Notamacropus eugenii: one gene and its partner. The protein of the gene in region 1 binds, or shares a complex with, the protein of each later gene. Links are inferred from orthologs where the notes say so. Each region holds a gene or a part of one and is shown on either strand. Other genes may lie near its edges.

Evidence for each region.
Region 2: RBM48 (region 1) and ARMC7 share a complex: the UniProt entries of both Homo sapiens proteins name them as parts of the minor spliceosome. The link is inferred for Notamacropus eugenii from reciprocal best matches to the Homo sapiens genes RBM48 and ARMC7.

What each region holds. Positions count from the first base shown.
Region 1 is NC_092874.1:47,882,032-47,890,455, reverse strand, and holds the start of RBM48 (RNA-binding protein 48), read left to right. Parts: upstream 1-3,792; 5' UTR 3,793-3,832; coding exon 3,833-3,967; intron 3,968-8,194; coding exon 8,195-8,385; intron 8,386-8,424. Other genes in the region: peroxisomal ATPase PEX1, read right to left, coding at 3,174-3,305. UniProt on the Homo sapiens protein: As a component of the minor spliceosome, involved in the splicing of U12-type introns in pre-mRNAs.
Region 2 is NC_092873.1:341,060,874-341,069,297, forward strand, and holds the start of ARMC7 (armadillo repeat-containing protein 7), read left to right. Parts: upstream 1-2,505; 5' UTR 2,506-2,593; exon of another isoform or gene 2,594-2,693; intron 2,694-2,695; exon of another isoform or gene 2,696-2,867; intron 2,868-3,051; exon of another isoform or gene 3,052-3,142; intron 3,143-6,383; 5' UTR 6,384-6,451; coding exon 6,452-6,542; intron 6,543-8,424. UniProt on the Homo sapiens protein: As a component of the minor spliceosome, involved in the splicing of U12-type introns in pre-mRNAs.

The DNA of each region.
Region 1 (8,424 bases):
TATTGTCTCCCTTAGAATGTGAGCTCCCTGAAGGCATGGGTTTTTGTATATCCAGCATCAGCGCAGTGCCTGGCACATAGTTTTTAACATATGCTTACTGACTATGTGGACTGTGACTTCTGGAGATCCCTAAATATAATGTGTCTAAGACCACAGCTGAACTGAGGCCTTCCTGACTGAGCCTAGCACTCTATCCATTGCATCACCTAAGTCTAAGCTATTAAAGTCACACAGGCATTAAGAGGCCGAGGCAAGACTGAACCCAGGTGCTCCAGCTAAATAAACAAGTGCTCTTCACATTGTTCCATGCTGCCTTTACCTGCATCACGGACGGACGCCACTACTAGAAGCTTACAGACAGGAAAAATGTCACCAGCACCAGCAACCTCTACTACTACTACAACAGACTACTAGCATCTGTGAGAACCCAAAGGGAGGCTGCTGGTCCTATTCCTGCTGAGTTGTGATCCTAACAGCATGATTATGTTGCACACTCCCTTTGGTAAAATGCAAGGGGAGCTCTGTACTTGAAATTTGGTGACAGTGGCAATCTTCTCCAGTATACTTCCTATAATCACAGAATGTTGTTTTTCTTTGGGGAGTAGGGGGTTTTTTCTTCTACATCAGTAGACTCATGAAATTCAACACTTTTTGGCACTGTGAAAGACACCAAGATGAATATTGAAGTCCTTGCCCTCAAACTGCCTCTAGTAACGGTTCCTAACTATTCTGATTGGAAATCTATGAAAACAGAATTTGAAGGCAATGTGGTAAGGAAACGAAGACACAGAGAGCACTGACCCAAAAGTCTTAATGAAGATTTAGAATCTTTTTTTTTTTTTTCCTTTTCCAGATTTATTTTCTGTTCTAAAGTATGGCATTCAACAAATTGTAAAAGTTCTTTCTCAATGCTATTCAATGTATATTTTTGAAAAAAAATCATATGTAAAAAATAAGTACAGAATAAATCAAACACACTAGCTGCAGAACTTTCCTGATATTTTTCCTTCTTGTGTGAAGATTTAGAATCTTAATGCAGATTTAAGCTATGAAAGATTAAAAACTTTAAGTTACTGAAGCTTAAAACTGAACTAAGATTTTTGGAATATCCTGAATATGACTCAAAGACTACTTCCAAAAAGCTTACAATCTATTAGTCCTGGCTCATACAACAGACCAGTGGTTCTCAAAGTGTGGGTCTAGGACATAAGAGTCTCCAAAACCAATTAAAAAAAACTAAGTTTATTAACCTATGAGGTTAAAACTATTTTCATAATAATACTGATGTTTTAGTTTCTGATATGCCAAACATAGATATAACCCACATGAATAAAAGCTCTTAGGGAAGGGTCCTCAGTATTTTTTAAGACTATAAAGAGGTTCCGAGACTAAAAAGTTTCAGAATCCCTGCTACAGGCCATTTGAGGGCAAAAACTGTTATCTTCATTTTTATATCTTTCACAGTGGTTCATTATAAATAAGCAGCATTCAAATGTGCAGACTCAACTGAATGAATTTGCTGAATGCTAAGGCCTCACATAGGATAGCTCTAGATTTGTGGGTTTTTTCCTTTTTATCTTAATCTAATTCACCACTTCCACCCTAATTCCTAGCCAGAAGGAACCTTAACAGATTCCTAAGTCAATCCTCCCACCTGTCCTAAGGAGCACAGCGAATTTGCTTCTTCACAGCACAGTTTTCAGGTGTCTAAATGACAAAAATCACAGAATTTGAAAGTTAGAAGAAGCTACAGAATACACTTAGTCCAACCCAGACCTAGACAGAAATCCTCTCTACAATATCCTCAATAAGTGGTTTATCGAAGAATTATCATGAAAGAGAATCCACTATTTCCCTACACAAGCCAATGGGGTAACTAATTTTGAGAGGTTTTCCTTACATCAAAACTTACATCAGTATTATCATTTTTCAAATGGAAGCTTTGAGATGTGCCTGGTAGGGTTTTTATTCAATCAACATTGATACATGTTTTGTCAAATGATTAACATAAAGTCAGGAATAGCAGTAATTAACTTAAAGAGGATGATTAAAGTGAAGGCTTCCTACTTCATGAAATTATTTGGGAGCACAATCAGTACTAAATAGATTATAAATTTATACATTATAATACACAAATGTGAATTTATGTATTACAATATGAATGCAAATTCATTACGAATATATGAATATAAATTGATATTAAATATAGGATTTAAAAAATATGTAAGGGCAGCTAGGTGGAAAGACTCATCTTCAGGGATTCAAATGTGGCCTCAGATACTTAACTAGCTGACCCCGGGGAAGTCACTTAACACTATTTGCCTCCGTTTCCTCATTTGCTAAATGAGCTGAAAAGAAGGAAATAGCAAACCACTTCAGTACAGTTGCCAAGAAAACCCCCAATGGAGTCAGAAATGATAAAGATAACATATTAAACAGAGGACTTTTAAATACATAATTCACACAAGATCACAAAGGAAGCCATTTACACTGAAACAGTTACCCAAACCTATGTTTCCAAGGTTCGGGAAGCCCTGCCTGGGTCAGCACTAACCAGGTGGTGCCGCAGCCTGGGCTGAGCCCCGACCCCGGACGAGTGATTTCATCTGTCGGCTTCGGTTTCCTCGCATGTAAACAGAGATAATAATAACACCACCGGGGAGTGACTCGGCGGGTCTAGACCGAAGGAGGGAAAGGGGGCCAGCCGAGACAAAGCCTCAAGTTACACTCCAGCAGGTTCGCCGCAATAGCGCGACCCCGTGCCTTGGCTGCCTCTGGACCCGGGGACATGGGCACGGCACCCCGGGTAACCCTGAGTCCCCAAGGGCGAGGACTCCGAGGAAAGGGGCGGCTGCACCGCCCGGGGAGGGCCCTCGAGGGGTCTGGCAGTGACCTTGCGCCTCATCCCGCGGCTGAGAGCACCGCGGCTGCGGGCCGGGCCCGTCACCCGGGCGGTGGGCAGGAGACCACGAAGAGCGGTCCGAAAGGGCAGGCCCACGGCCGCGATCACCGCCACAGGCAGCATTTGAACCCAGGTCATTTCTAGACCTAATTTCGCGGCTCCAGGAGGCTCCAGTGGCTCAGGCCGAGCAGCCCGGCCTCGGGGGCCCTTCCCGGCAGGCCTCGCGGCGGGGGGGAGGGGGCGCAACTTGGAGGCCTCCTGAGCGCGTTACCTGCTGGAGGTGCAGCTGGGCCACGAGCGCCCGCGGCAAGTGGAGGAAGCAGTCCCGGGCGTGAGAGAAGGCGATGGTGACGGCCACGACCCCTCCAGCCCCGGCGCCCTCGAGACGGCCACCGCCCCACATCGCGAGCGAGCGAGTGAGCCAGAGAGCCAGAGACTGACGGGGCAGAGCACCGATCCGCGCCAGGCAGGAGGCGTCGAGCGCCGAGAGGATCGATCGACAACCACCACCCCCGGCAGCCTACTCGCCCTAGCGTCGCGAGGGGCGGGACTACCGAGCCTCGTTACCGCGCCGCCACAAGACGGCGCCTTCTCGCTTTCTCCATCCCCTCCGGAAGCGTCAACGAGCGCCATCCGTACTCGAGCCAATCCTAGGACGTCGCTGCCTGCCTGACTCTCTGATTGGATGAGAGGGATAGGGGTCAGGCGGAAGCGGTTAACTTGGAAGGAAGGCCTAGTGGGAAAGGATGGCGGACGGCGGAGGGGAGCTGGGTGGCTATTACCCTCACCATGCGCAGCGGGCTGTTTGTGACTCGCGGGCCAAGTATCGGGAGGGGCGGAGGCCCCGCGCCGTTAAGGTGAGAGAGAAACCCCCGGGCACCCCGGCTTCCTCTGGCCAGGAGCGCCCGGTGAGGCTTAGGTAGTGGCTAGATGGGCGGACCGCGGAGCTGCTGTGTTCGGCTACGGTGCCCGGGCCGTGGAAGAGGGACGAGTCCGGTCGGGCCGCAGTCGCCGGCCGGGATTCGAGCTCAGAGAGATCAAGCCCCGCCGAACCTCCCTAAGTTGGTAGGGTCAGTTGACTGGACGGTTCTGTCATCAGCGCAGCCTGGAGAGGGGAGGGCAGGCGACAGCGCTGTCATTCCCGTTTTGTGGATGAGGAGACCGAGTCCCGCGGCTACAAGTGTCTGAGTCTGGATTCAGAACCGGCTCTGCCCCCATCCCGCTCCTTCCCTCCCTGCGTCCTTGTCCGCTCCCTCACACACACACCGTACACACACACACACACCACACACACACCACACACACACACCGTACACACACACACACCGTACACACACACACACCGTACACACACACACACCGTACACACACACACACCGTACACACACACACACACCGTACACACACACACCACACACACACACACACACACACCGTACACACACACACACCGTACACACACACACCGTACACACACACACACCGTACACACACACACACCGTACACACACACACACACCGTACACACACACACCACACACACACACACACACACACCGTACACACACACACACACACACACACACCGTACACACACGCACACCACACACACACACCGTACACACACACACACACACACCGTACACACACACCACACACACACACACACCATACACACACACACCATACACACACACACACACACCATACACACACACACCATACACACACACACCATACACACACCATACACACACACCACACACACACACACCATACACACACACCATACACACACATCACACACACACACCACACACACACACCATACACACACCACACACACCAAATACACACACACCACACACACACCATACACACACACACACCATACACACACACACCATACACACACACACACCATACACACACACACCATACACACACACACACACACCCCGTACACACACACACACCATATACACACACACACACCCCGTACACACACACACCACACACACACACACACACACACACCATACACACACACACCATACACACACACACACACACCGTACACACACACCATACACACACACACACCATACACACACACACACACACACACACCATACACACACACACCATACACACACCATACACACACACCACACACACACACACCATACACACACACCATACACACACATCACACACACACACCACACACACACACCATACACACACCACACACACCAAATACACACACACCACACACACCAAATACACACACACCACACACACCATACACACACACACACCATACACACACACACCATACACACACACACCATACACACACACACACACCCCGTACACACACACACCATACACACACACACACACCATACACACACACACCATACACACACACACCATACACACACACACACACACACCATACACACACACACACCATACACACACACACACCATACACACACACACACCATACACACACGCACACACCATACACACACGCACACACCATACACACACACACCATACACACACACCACACACACACACACCATACACACACACCATACACACACATCACACACACACACCACACACACACCATACACACACCACACACACCAAATACACACACACCACACACACACCGTACACACACACATACCACACACACACACCACACACACACACACACACACACCATCCAATCCACCCTCTCCAGGAAGGCATCCCCACTATAACACACCCACCCACCTGGGGTCATTTAACTTTTGTCCTGAAGACCCCCATCCACCTGGGCAAGCCGCTCTACTTGTTAGGAAGCATCAAACCTACTTTTGCAGCTCCCACCCATTGATTCTGCTTTTTCTCCCTTAGGCCAAACAGAACAAATATAATCCTTTTACATGACAGCTCTTTAAATACTTTCACACAGTTGTCCAGCCACAGTCACTAAACATTTACACAAAGCCTACTGCTGTGTGCCAGGTACTTTGCTAAGTTAGGGGATGTTTTCAGGGACTTCACAATCTAATGGCAGTGACAACATACAAACAAATGTGTACAAACAAACCTACAGGATAAATTGGAGATATCTCAGAGGGAGGACTAGAATTAAGGATGGAGAAAGGCTTCCTGTAGGAGGTGAAATTTTAGCTGCGACTTGAAGTTAGGAAGCACAGATGAGAAGAGAGCATTATTAGTCTTTTTCTTCACAGCAACACTTTTCAGATGCTCAGATCCTCTCCCTGCTTTCTAAACAGTCCAGGTCAGTCTGCTCAAGGAGATGTGTGAAGAACAGGTGTATAAAGATAAGCAGGGCTCTGGGGAGAAACTTCCCCTTCTACTATGCCAAAAGATCCATAGTCCATTAGTATGTTGAAAATCTCAGATTACTAGAAACAAAGTAGAGCTGTCATCGATTGGGGAATAGGCAGACAAATTGTGCTGCACAAATGGACTGTTACTATGCTGCAAAACGTGAATGACTACAGAGAGGAATGGGAAGATGTGAACGGAGGTAGAGTGAAGCAAGCAGGACCAGGAAGGCATATCAATGGACTGCAACACTAATTAATGGAAAGTACATCCCTTAAACTAAATATTGCAAAATTATAATGACCAAACTTAACCCCAAAGAAGAGAGAACATACCATTCTTTGTAGAGGTCAGTGTGGAACAGTACGTATAGTGCCCTACTTTTTCAAATGGTGGTTAATTTTGCCAAACTCTTTTTATTCTGTATTATTTGGGATTGCTCCCAAGGAAGAAAAAGAAGGGATACATGGGAAATTGTAGGTGTTATACAAGCAAAATATATCAACAAAATTTTACTTTAAAGAAAAACCTACAGCTTGTAAATATTCATGGTTTTGGATTTACATAGTGTTTTCTTCTCTAGGGCTCAAATTGACCTGTGGATTCATTCAGCTTTCAAATGTAGGAAAATATATTGAGCCTACTCTAACATGAATAATGGAAATTCATAGATAATTCACAATCCCCATTGTAAGTCTTTAGTCTAAAGACAAGTGTTTGCAGGTTTATTCTTGTTAAACTAGAGGTTCTTAAACATTTTTGTGTAATGGATCCCTTTAGCAGTCTGGTAGGGCCTTTAAAGCCCTTTTCAGAATGTTTTTGTTGCCTGTATTCACAATTGAAGGAAATGCTAACTTTCAATTGCAAGTTAGTAAAAAAAATAAAGATGCAAATTTTTTTTTCCCCACCCAAATTTACAAACCTCTAAAACCTATCCCAGGAAGCCATGGGCTAAGAACCTTTATGTTAAACTAATAGAATGGAGCCTGCTTTTGTTAATAGACCTTCTGATGTAGCTGAAGAACATCACATAGGAACATCAGAGTCATTAACCCAGTGATGTGACCCTAGACCTTCCTTGGGTCTCAGTTTCCTCTTCTGTAAAGTGAAGCACATGACTGGATAGATTCTGAAGTCTCTTTATGCCCTCAAAAGACTGGCAATAATAGCAGTTTTAGCTTATCTCACTTGCCTTTAAATCCTGCTTAGATTTATGCCAGATGAGTAGTAAAGCATCATGGTTATATATGTTAATACTTGTCTGTTTTTACATACATCACAAAGTCAGTGAGTTAAATATATTTTAAAACACTACATAGAAGGGATTTGTTATTCTGTGGTTGGTCAAAGCATAGTAGTTGGTAAATTACTTTCAAGGCTGGACTTTATCCTGGTTAAACTTTATTGTGAAAATTTTAGGTACCACATGAGGAAAATAAATTGGACTTTGCCCAAAGGAATGTGAGTGCGATAGTGAAGAAACTGGACATTATGTCATGTTAAGGATTGGCTGAAGAAAAGATGGGGAAGGGGAGGAGCAGGAGCAATATGGTAGCTGTGTTCTGCTACTTCAAGGCCTGCTGCCATTTCGGGGAGGAATTTTGCTGACCCCAAAGAGTAGAACTAGGAGCAATGAGCAGAAGTAAGAGACAGGAAGATCTTAGTTCCCTATGAGGAGAATTTTCTTTATAGCCCTGTCCTGAAGTGAAATGATTAGCCTCAGAAAAGTAATCAAGTTCCCCCATAACTATAGACCTTTAAAAGAGATTGGACAATTACACATCAGAGGTACTATAGAGATTATTCCTGCTTTGGTATGGGTTGGGCCAGATGAGCTCTGAATTCTTTTCTAACTCAGAGATTCTGTAATAAATATAAGGGCAGAGCTATTCAAGAAAAGTATGAAAAATATGAATACATCTATATTTCCTTTAGGTTTATACAGTCAATTTGGAATCTCGATACTTAATCATTCAAGGAGTTCCTGCAGTGGGAGTTATGAAGGAACTGATCGAGCAGTTTGCATTATTTGGTGCTATTGAACAATATAATGCTCTAGACGAGTATCCAGCAGAAGAATTTACAGAGGTGTATCTAATTAAATTTCAAAAATTACAAAGTGCAAGGTAATGTGGATGCCTGTCAGAGTTCTTTCTCTTTATCAC
Region 2 (8,424 bases), on another chromosome or scaffold:
GGCAGGGCCGCCTCATGGGCTCAGTTCCCTCAGGGGATTTATGCGGAGACCTTCAACAATGGATCCAGGCTCCTGCCTGCTTGGGGAGCCCGGGTCTGCTCCCGCCTCCGCTGTTGCCTTCCGAGGGGGCCTGAGTATGGGGGCACCCCACTCCCCTCTCAACCCACCAAAGAGACCTTCTCACCGACCCCCGTCACCTGTGGGTGGAGGGACCCGCGTGGCCGCTGGAGATCCCGTCCCTGAAGTCCGCTTGGATCTGTTCCTCTCGTTGCTGGGGCCCGTGCAGGGCTGGGCTGGGCTCCGCGTCCGCAGCGCGACGGACCTTTTGCAAGAGGTTTGCAGGTCCCTCTGGAACAGAAATCTTATCCGCTCCACTATTATGTGGCTTCTCCTGCTCCCGAATTTATTGGCGGCTCTTTACTACGGATATTTCATGGGCTGTGGGTTCGGAGCTAGCGTATTTGTGTGTTTCTACTCCGCCATCTTGGCTCCACCCCCACAAGAGTTTTTTAATAGGTAACAAACCTAGGTCATTTTCTGAGGAGAAAGAGTAAGTATCTCTTAAGGTGTGGTTCATTGTGTAAAATGCTGCAGACAGGTCAATAATAATGACTGGGGAAAGTTCATCAGTTTTGGTTGCTATTTGTCCTTTGTTCTGGAAGACAGGAAGTGATGCCATGACATGCAAGTTGTGTGGGATGGCTCAGGTCCCTACATAAATCAATTACTCAGAGGCCTCTCAAAGTGATGACAGAAAAGTGATTTATTCGTTTCTCAAGAAGAGGGGCTTACCTGTAGGAGTAGGAAAGCCGAAGACAAAGAAAAGGGCAGTGATTTATATAGACCCTAACGCAAGTCCCTCCTCCCCACCACTGACCGTTATCCTCATTAGCTGAGAATATGGTCTTACATTCTAGACACGAAATCTAACCAATCCCTTTTGAAATGAAGACATTGAGGAATTATGTAAGTTTTGTCCAATCATTGAGACCCTAATACACTACACAGTTTTATATCCTTATATGGAACTATTCTATTCTAAAAATATTGTAACCTTGAGCCTTTAGGCCTTACCTCACCCCTGGGAGAAAAATTACAATCTGAGGAGTCTTCAGTAAGTCTATCCCACTCAAAGTGAATTGGATTTAAGTGAGGCAGGGCTGTGCAAAGTCACCAGCCTCACTTTCTTCCCAGAGCCATCTCAGTCCAGTGGCAAGATGCTGTATTTGTCCTTCACTTTTGAAGACAACCATGTTGTGTTTGTCCTTCATTTCCGAATACCATGCCATCAGAGAAACGATGACATGATCTGCACTTGACTTTGTTTTGAGTGAGGGAAGGATGGGCAAGGTCATCAGCCTCACTTCCTCCTCCTGAGCCATCTGGGTCCAATAGCCAGATATTCATCAGGATGACTGGAGGTGGGCCAGGATGCAATGGGAGACCCTGGCCTTTTTTAGGCTAAGGCTTTTTTCAGCTACTTTTTTCAGAGTGAGGTAATGCCCATTCAATGAATAGACCTCTTTAAGAAGTCAATCAAAGGATGGTCCCCTTAATTAGAAAAAAAGATAAATTCAAGCTGAGAGGGGAAGACCCTCAGGGTTGCTGTTCCAAAGAGAGTTACCATTGATATTAAGCCAGGAAGGTCTTAAATGCAACCTTGAAGTGAAGCCTGGGCAGAGACCTATTGTGCTCCCCATTCATGAGCCTCAGAGTGAGCTGGGTTGAAGGTTTTGTGAAAGAGAGACAAGAAAGAAGGAAATCTAGCCAGTAAACTCCAAGTTAACTGGGCAAGACATACATCAGGATGACTGGAGATGGCCTTTGATGCAGTGGAAGGCTGGCCTTTTCAAGCTAAGGTCTTTCCCAGGTCTCAATTTGACTAAGGTGAGGCAGAGAATGTCCTCTTTCACCTAGTTAAAAAAAAAATCAATCTGGGAGGGGAAGACCCTCTAGCCAAAACAGAAACAACTGCTATTCACATTCATTCTGAGCCATTCGGGGCTTGGCCTGGGGCCTTCTGTTGGCCAATCAAGGAGAGCCAGAGTGGACTTGCATGCCTTGACATCCTTAGAAACTCTGAAAAGAACAGTTTAGGTTGAGAGAGTAGTCAGCGGTTACTGGAGAACCCCAGGGAGACTGGAAGGATAGTGGTACTCCAACAGAAGTGGGGGTGTTCAGGGGAGGTGTGGGTCTTTGGGGGGGGGATAGACAACAATGAGATCAAATTTCATATCTGCACCAGTCCATATTAACTACTTTTTCCAACAAAAACAAAAAAGGCAAAGAGGCATGTACAGGAATGAGATCTTACCCTTGATGGCCCCAGCTGGCAGAGCTCACCTGTTGAAAGGTTTTGGGTGTGAGGATGGGTGGGGGATGGGCGGCCAGGAATTGTGCCTTCCAACTGCAGAGCATCCATGACCTGCCCAAGTTTAGGTTATAATAGCGCTCCCCGCCTCCCTCCGCTCCACCGGCCCCGCCTCCCGCTGGGATCGGCCAAGGGCGGAGCCTGGCCACGCCCCTTCCGCCGCTGGGGGCGGGGTCAACACCGCCTTCCGCTCTGGAGGAACTGCCGTGCAGAGCGGGCGCGGTAGGTGCAGAGAGCTGGGGGCCGTGGTCGCGGGGTCCCTGCAAAGCAGCTTCTCTTGTCTCCAGGTCAATCTCGAAACGACAGAGCGCGGTGACTTCCGGTGTGTGAAGCCCCGCCCTCGTCCCCCATAGTGAGATTTAAGGAAGTCGAGGCAGGATGCCTGAAACTCGGGGGATTGTTTTGGTGGCGTTACCTTGGTCCGTACGGAGGCCGTGTGTGCTGGGGAGAAGGGCCTGCTGCGGAACCCTGGCTCTGGAAGCCTGGGCCACGTTCAGTCAGTCAACCAGCATTTATTATGCGCCTACTCTGCGACGCCTTGGGCATGGCGTATGGGGGAGGGGAATATACCTATACATGACGTAATACAGAGGGGGGAACGACCCTCTGGGAGCTCACTTACATTGGGGGGTGGGGCGGTGGCGGAGGACATGTTTACGTAAATGTATACAAAACAATTAGTGTTCACCTGGGCGAGGGGAGTCAAGGAAGCAAGTGCAAGAGGGAGATACGAGGAGTGCCCGAAGGCAGGCCGGTGCAGAGCGAAGGCAGGTTAGGCGTTTATTGAGCTCGTACTGTGTGCCAGACTCAGGGATAAGCGCAGAAGGTACAGTGTAACAGAGAACGTGCAAGTTGCAACTTTGTGCAAACGATGTTCTCTGGATGAAGTGGAGATGATCCCAGAAGGGAGCGCCCAGGAAAGGCTTCTTGAAAGTGGGGTTTTAGTGTAAGGAAGTCAGGAGACAGAGATGAAGAGGAAAAAAATTACAAGCGTTGGGAACTCATCAGGAAAATGCACTGATTGAGGAGATGGAAGGTCATGTGGCCAATATCATTGGATTACAGAGTATGTGAGGGGAGAAAGGCATAGGAAGATAAAGGTAGGAAAGGGCCAGGTTGTGAAGGGATTTAAAAGCCAACCAGAGGGTTTTATATTTGATCCTGGACATGCTTTCTTGTGTTTGTCCTTTGTTTTCGAAGAGGACTATGATAATCAGAAATGATGACATGAGTTGCATTTGATATGGTGCCACTTGACTCCTCATTGACATGGTCACACCTTCCCTTTAGGAAGATGACTGGCAGCTGAGTGCAAGATGGACTAGAGTGAGGAGAGATTTGAGATAGGGATACCAACAGGCTTTCTAAATAGCCCATAGTATGAAGGGATGAGGGCCTACACCAGAGCAGAGGAGAGAAAGGGATATGTAGGAGAGATGCTCTAACACTAGAATTGATTGGACTTAACAACTGGTTGAATATGATGGGTGATAGGAGTCAAAGATAACACCTAGGTTTCAATTCTGGATAACTGATAGGATGGTGCTGCCCCCAAACAAGAATAGGGAAATTAGGAGTTCTGTTTGGGATATGCTTTGAGATGTCTCCAGCACGTCTAGTTTGAAACATCCAGTAGGCAGTTGGAGATACAAGTCAAGAATTCAGGAATGAGAGTAGGACCAGATATATGGGTCTATAGATAAGGTTTATCTGCATGTAGATGATAATTAATCCTATAAGAACAGTTGAGGTCACCAAGTGAGATTGTAGAGAGAGAAAAGGGCTCAAGGACAAAGTTTTGAGGTATACCAGCTGGGGGAATGGGATGGATGATGACCCAGAAAAGGAGATTTTGAAAAGAGGTGGTCATATAAAGAGGGAAACTGAGGGCAGGTTCATGAAAACCCAGAGAGGAGAGTGTATCCAGGAGGAAAGAGTGGCCAACACAGTTTCAGTCCCTGCAGAGAAGTAAAGAAGGGTGAGAATTGGAAAAAAAAAAAAACTATTGGATTTGACAGTTAGGAGATCACTTGACAACTTTGGAGAGAGCCTTTGCAATTGAATGACAAGGTTAGAGGCCACATTGCCAAAAGCAGAGAATGTGGAGGCCATGAGTGTTTAAAAATCAGCCTACAATGATTAATAATTGTATGACGTTGGATAAGTCACTTACCTCCATAGACTTCATCTGTAAAATAAGAGGGGGGGGAGTGTGGGCGGGGGTTGAATGACATAATTCCTAAAGTCTCTTCCAGCTCTATCATTGATCCTCTTTGTTACCTGCAGTGGCATATTGGTGGGAGCACTGAGTTGGGGCATCAGGACCCTTTTGGCCCTGGACTTCAGCTCTTTCATATGAAGTATTTGTAAACGACTTAGCACAGCTAGCACACTTAATAAACACTTGTTTCCTTCTCTCTTCCACTCTTTTTCTCCTTCCCTCTCTCCTTTCCTTCCTCACTCCCTCCCTTCTGCCCTCCCGTTTTTCTTCCCTCTTTCCTCCCTTCTTCCCTCCTTTCCTTCCTCCCTTCTATCTTCTCTCTCTTTCTCCCTCCCTTCTCTTCCTTCCTGCCTTCCTTCCTCTCTCCCTTTTTCTTTCCTCTCTCCTTCCCTTCCTTCTCTCCCTTCATTCCTTCCATCCATCCTATCTCCCTCTCTCCCTCTTTTCCTCTCTCCTTCCCTTTCTTCCTCCTTTTCTTCCTTCCACCTCCCTCCCTCCCTTTTTTATGTCCTTTCTCCTTCTCTTCTTCCTTCCCTCCCTTCCAACATCTCTCCCTGCCTCTCTCCTTTTTATCCTGCCTTTTTCCTTCACTCCTTCCTCCCTCCCTTCCTTCTTTTCTCCCTTTCTTCCTCTCCCTTCCTCCTTTCCTTCATTTTAGGGGCATGTGTCACATAGATGACTTAAATGGATGATGTTTGCTTGTCCATCTCTGAGCATTTCTGTGAACGTGCCCTTCACTGATCCAAATTGCAATCCATCCTTACCTTATCCTGTGCAATTCTTTACCTTGGTCTCTCCTACATTCTCTAGAGGGATGGAGTACAATAATATTGGAGACCTTCTAGGTCTCTGACATTAAATGGTACCAGTGTAGCACTGAAACCATACAGTTATTATCTTCCAATCGCGTACATGACTGGCCCACCACCTTCTCCTGTTATCAGTCCTGATTATAGTTTTTCAACTATTAAAGTTTTATTGATGGTTTTTGCTTTCATATCACATTGATTTCCACACATGGCCCTCGTTTTCCATACCCATCATACCTTGTGACAAGAATCTAAAAGGAAGAAATACTCAGCAAAACCATCCAATTCTACAACCATTTCTGATGGCAGTATTCTTCATCCATAATCCCTCATCTTTCAACAAAAGGAGGAAGGTGCATTTTCTCATCTTTTGTCTGGGGCCAGTATTGGTCGTTATAATTATACAACATTGTTTCATTTTATTGTTCTTTTTGCTTATATTGTTGTAGTGGTTATTTATATTAATTTCCTGTTTCTTCATCTTTGATGATTTTTACACATTTTTGTGCACCACTCATTCCTTATCATATGACATAATCTTTATACACCTCCCTCTCCATTTGCCCTTTGGGTTACATGAAGTTTTAATTTTAGTAATAATAGTAATTGATATCACTCATTGATTGATGACTGACAGTGCTTTCAGAATTGCAAATTGCTTACATACCTAATCCCATTTAAGACAACAATCTGGTGAGGTGGGATTGTGTTGGTTCATGATTTTGTCACTTGCTGGAGAAATAATGGTTTTTAAGTGAGGTTTTTCTTTTAGGGAGCAAGCTTGTGGTCATAAAACACTGAGGTTTCCAAATAGAGTTTAACTTACTTTCTTAGTCAGTTCTGGGTCCGTCTAATCTGCCATGCCTGTCTGGGGTATGTATACAGAGGGACCACAGCTGTCCATTCCACTGTGTAAGAGCCTAGGGCAGCGGCTCTCACCTTTGCCCTTTTCCTTCATGATGTTTTCTGTATTTCTTTACAGATGGTCTGCCCGTCTGACTCTGCTGCTTATTCATAAACATCTGGTAAGGTGACCAGGACACCTTGGTCATGAACCCAAAGCCTCGAGCTGTTCCAGAGGGAGGACGGCTGGAATACCTGCAGGCACTGGTCACAGAGTTCCAGGAGACAGCAAGCCAAGGTGAGAGAGGGGGGACAGTCAAACCCAGGTCCTTCGTCCTCAGCTGGCATGCTTTGCTTCCTACTCCCCCCCAAAAAAAAAACAGCTCACATGCCATTTATTATTTTAATGTTTTTGTTACAAATTAGACTTCATTGTTGTCCTTCATTCTTTAAGGGGACCAAAATAATGTCACTATGTTGGAGTCAAGATAGAATGTGTCCCACTGTGGTTGATCAAACTAATATGACCTCAGAAGGCTCTACCACAGGCAGGGCACAAATAGTCCACGTGAACATTTAGAGTGAAGATGTTTCCAAATTTGTGCATCTCATGTTTCTTTTGAGCTACTGTAGCGCAGCACATAGAATACAGGGCCTGGAGTCAGGAAGACCTGAGTTCAAATGTGGCCTCAGGCACTCATTTTGTGACCCTGAGCAAATCATTTAACCCTTTTTGCCTCAGTTTCCTCATCTTTTAAATGAGCTGGAGAAAGAAATGGCAAATCCACTCTAATATTTTTTGCCAAGAAAAGACCAAATGGAGTCATAAAGAGTCAGACACCACTGAACAACAACAAATACAAATTAGACACATACTGGCTGGAAGACCTAGCAACTCCCTAAGACTATAAAGTGTAGCACAAGTACCAAACTGTCTTGGTGGAGTAAGTTTGTCACTAGAAATTTCCTGCATTGAAATCACAGATCTGGTCCCTGTGCCTTATTCCAGAAATAAGGAGGTATATGATGTATATGAAACATCAGCAGTTCTATGTTTATTACGCAATTTCCATTCTGTCAGAAAGAAAAACAAATCTCCACTAGTGGGGCTGTCACCTTTTTAATATTTTGTTAGGGTTTTTTTTTTCTCAACCAAAACCATGTCTTTAAATTAAAAAACAGAAACAGAAAACAATAGTAACATACTTTCTGACAAATGAGTTTCTTTCATTTTATATATATATATATATTTTTTTTTTTTCATTTTATATATCCCCACTATAACACACCTAACAAGTACTCACCCAGCCTCCACTTGAAGACCTCCAAGGAGGGAGAACCTAGTACCTCCCAAGGGAGGCCTTGCCACTTTGAGGTGCCTCTCATTGTTTTTCCTGACATTGAGTCTGAACTGGTCCCTTTGCAATGTCTACCCTTTTCTCCTTGTTCTGTCCTCTCAGGTCAAACAAGATAAACCTTATTCCTCTTCATTTTAACAGCCTTTCAAATACTTGAATCATGTCTGACCCTCCATTCCCCTACCCTCCACCACCACCCCCTTTCTGCTTACTCTACCAAGTCTTCTACACCTTAAATATGTCAGGTTCCTTCAGGTGGCCATATGTCATGAACTCAGTACCTTTCAGCCTCCTGGTTGGCCTCCTCTGGTCACTCCAACTTATCAACATCCTTCTTAAAACAGGACACCCCGAACTGAATGTACTGGAACACATCTGGATTATGCCAGATAAGGTCTGACAAGGACAGAGTACAGTGACACTATCACCTCCCTGTTCTTGGGAGCTATGCCCCAATTAATGCATCCCAAGATCACATTAAGCTTTTTTTGGTTGCTGACTCAGACTTCACTTGTACTAAAACCCCCAGATCTTTTCCAGACTGCTGTCTAATTGTGCCTACCTGTACTAAAATTGACTTTTTTGGTACCCAAGTGCAAGATTCTACATTTGTATTTTTTGAATTTTGTCTTAGTAATGATTCAGCCCAATGCTCTAGCTTGTCAAGATTTCTTTTGGATCCTGACTCTGTCATCCATTGTATTAAGTATCTCTCCCACCTTAGTGTCCCTTGAAAATTTAATGAGGATATCATCTAGGATTTTTTTCCAAGTCATTGCTAAAAATGTTATTGGTACAGTCCCAAACACAGACCCTGGGGTA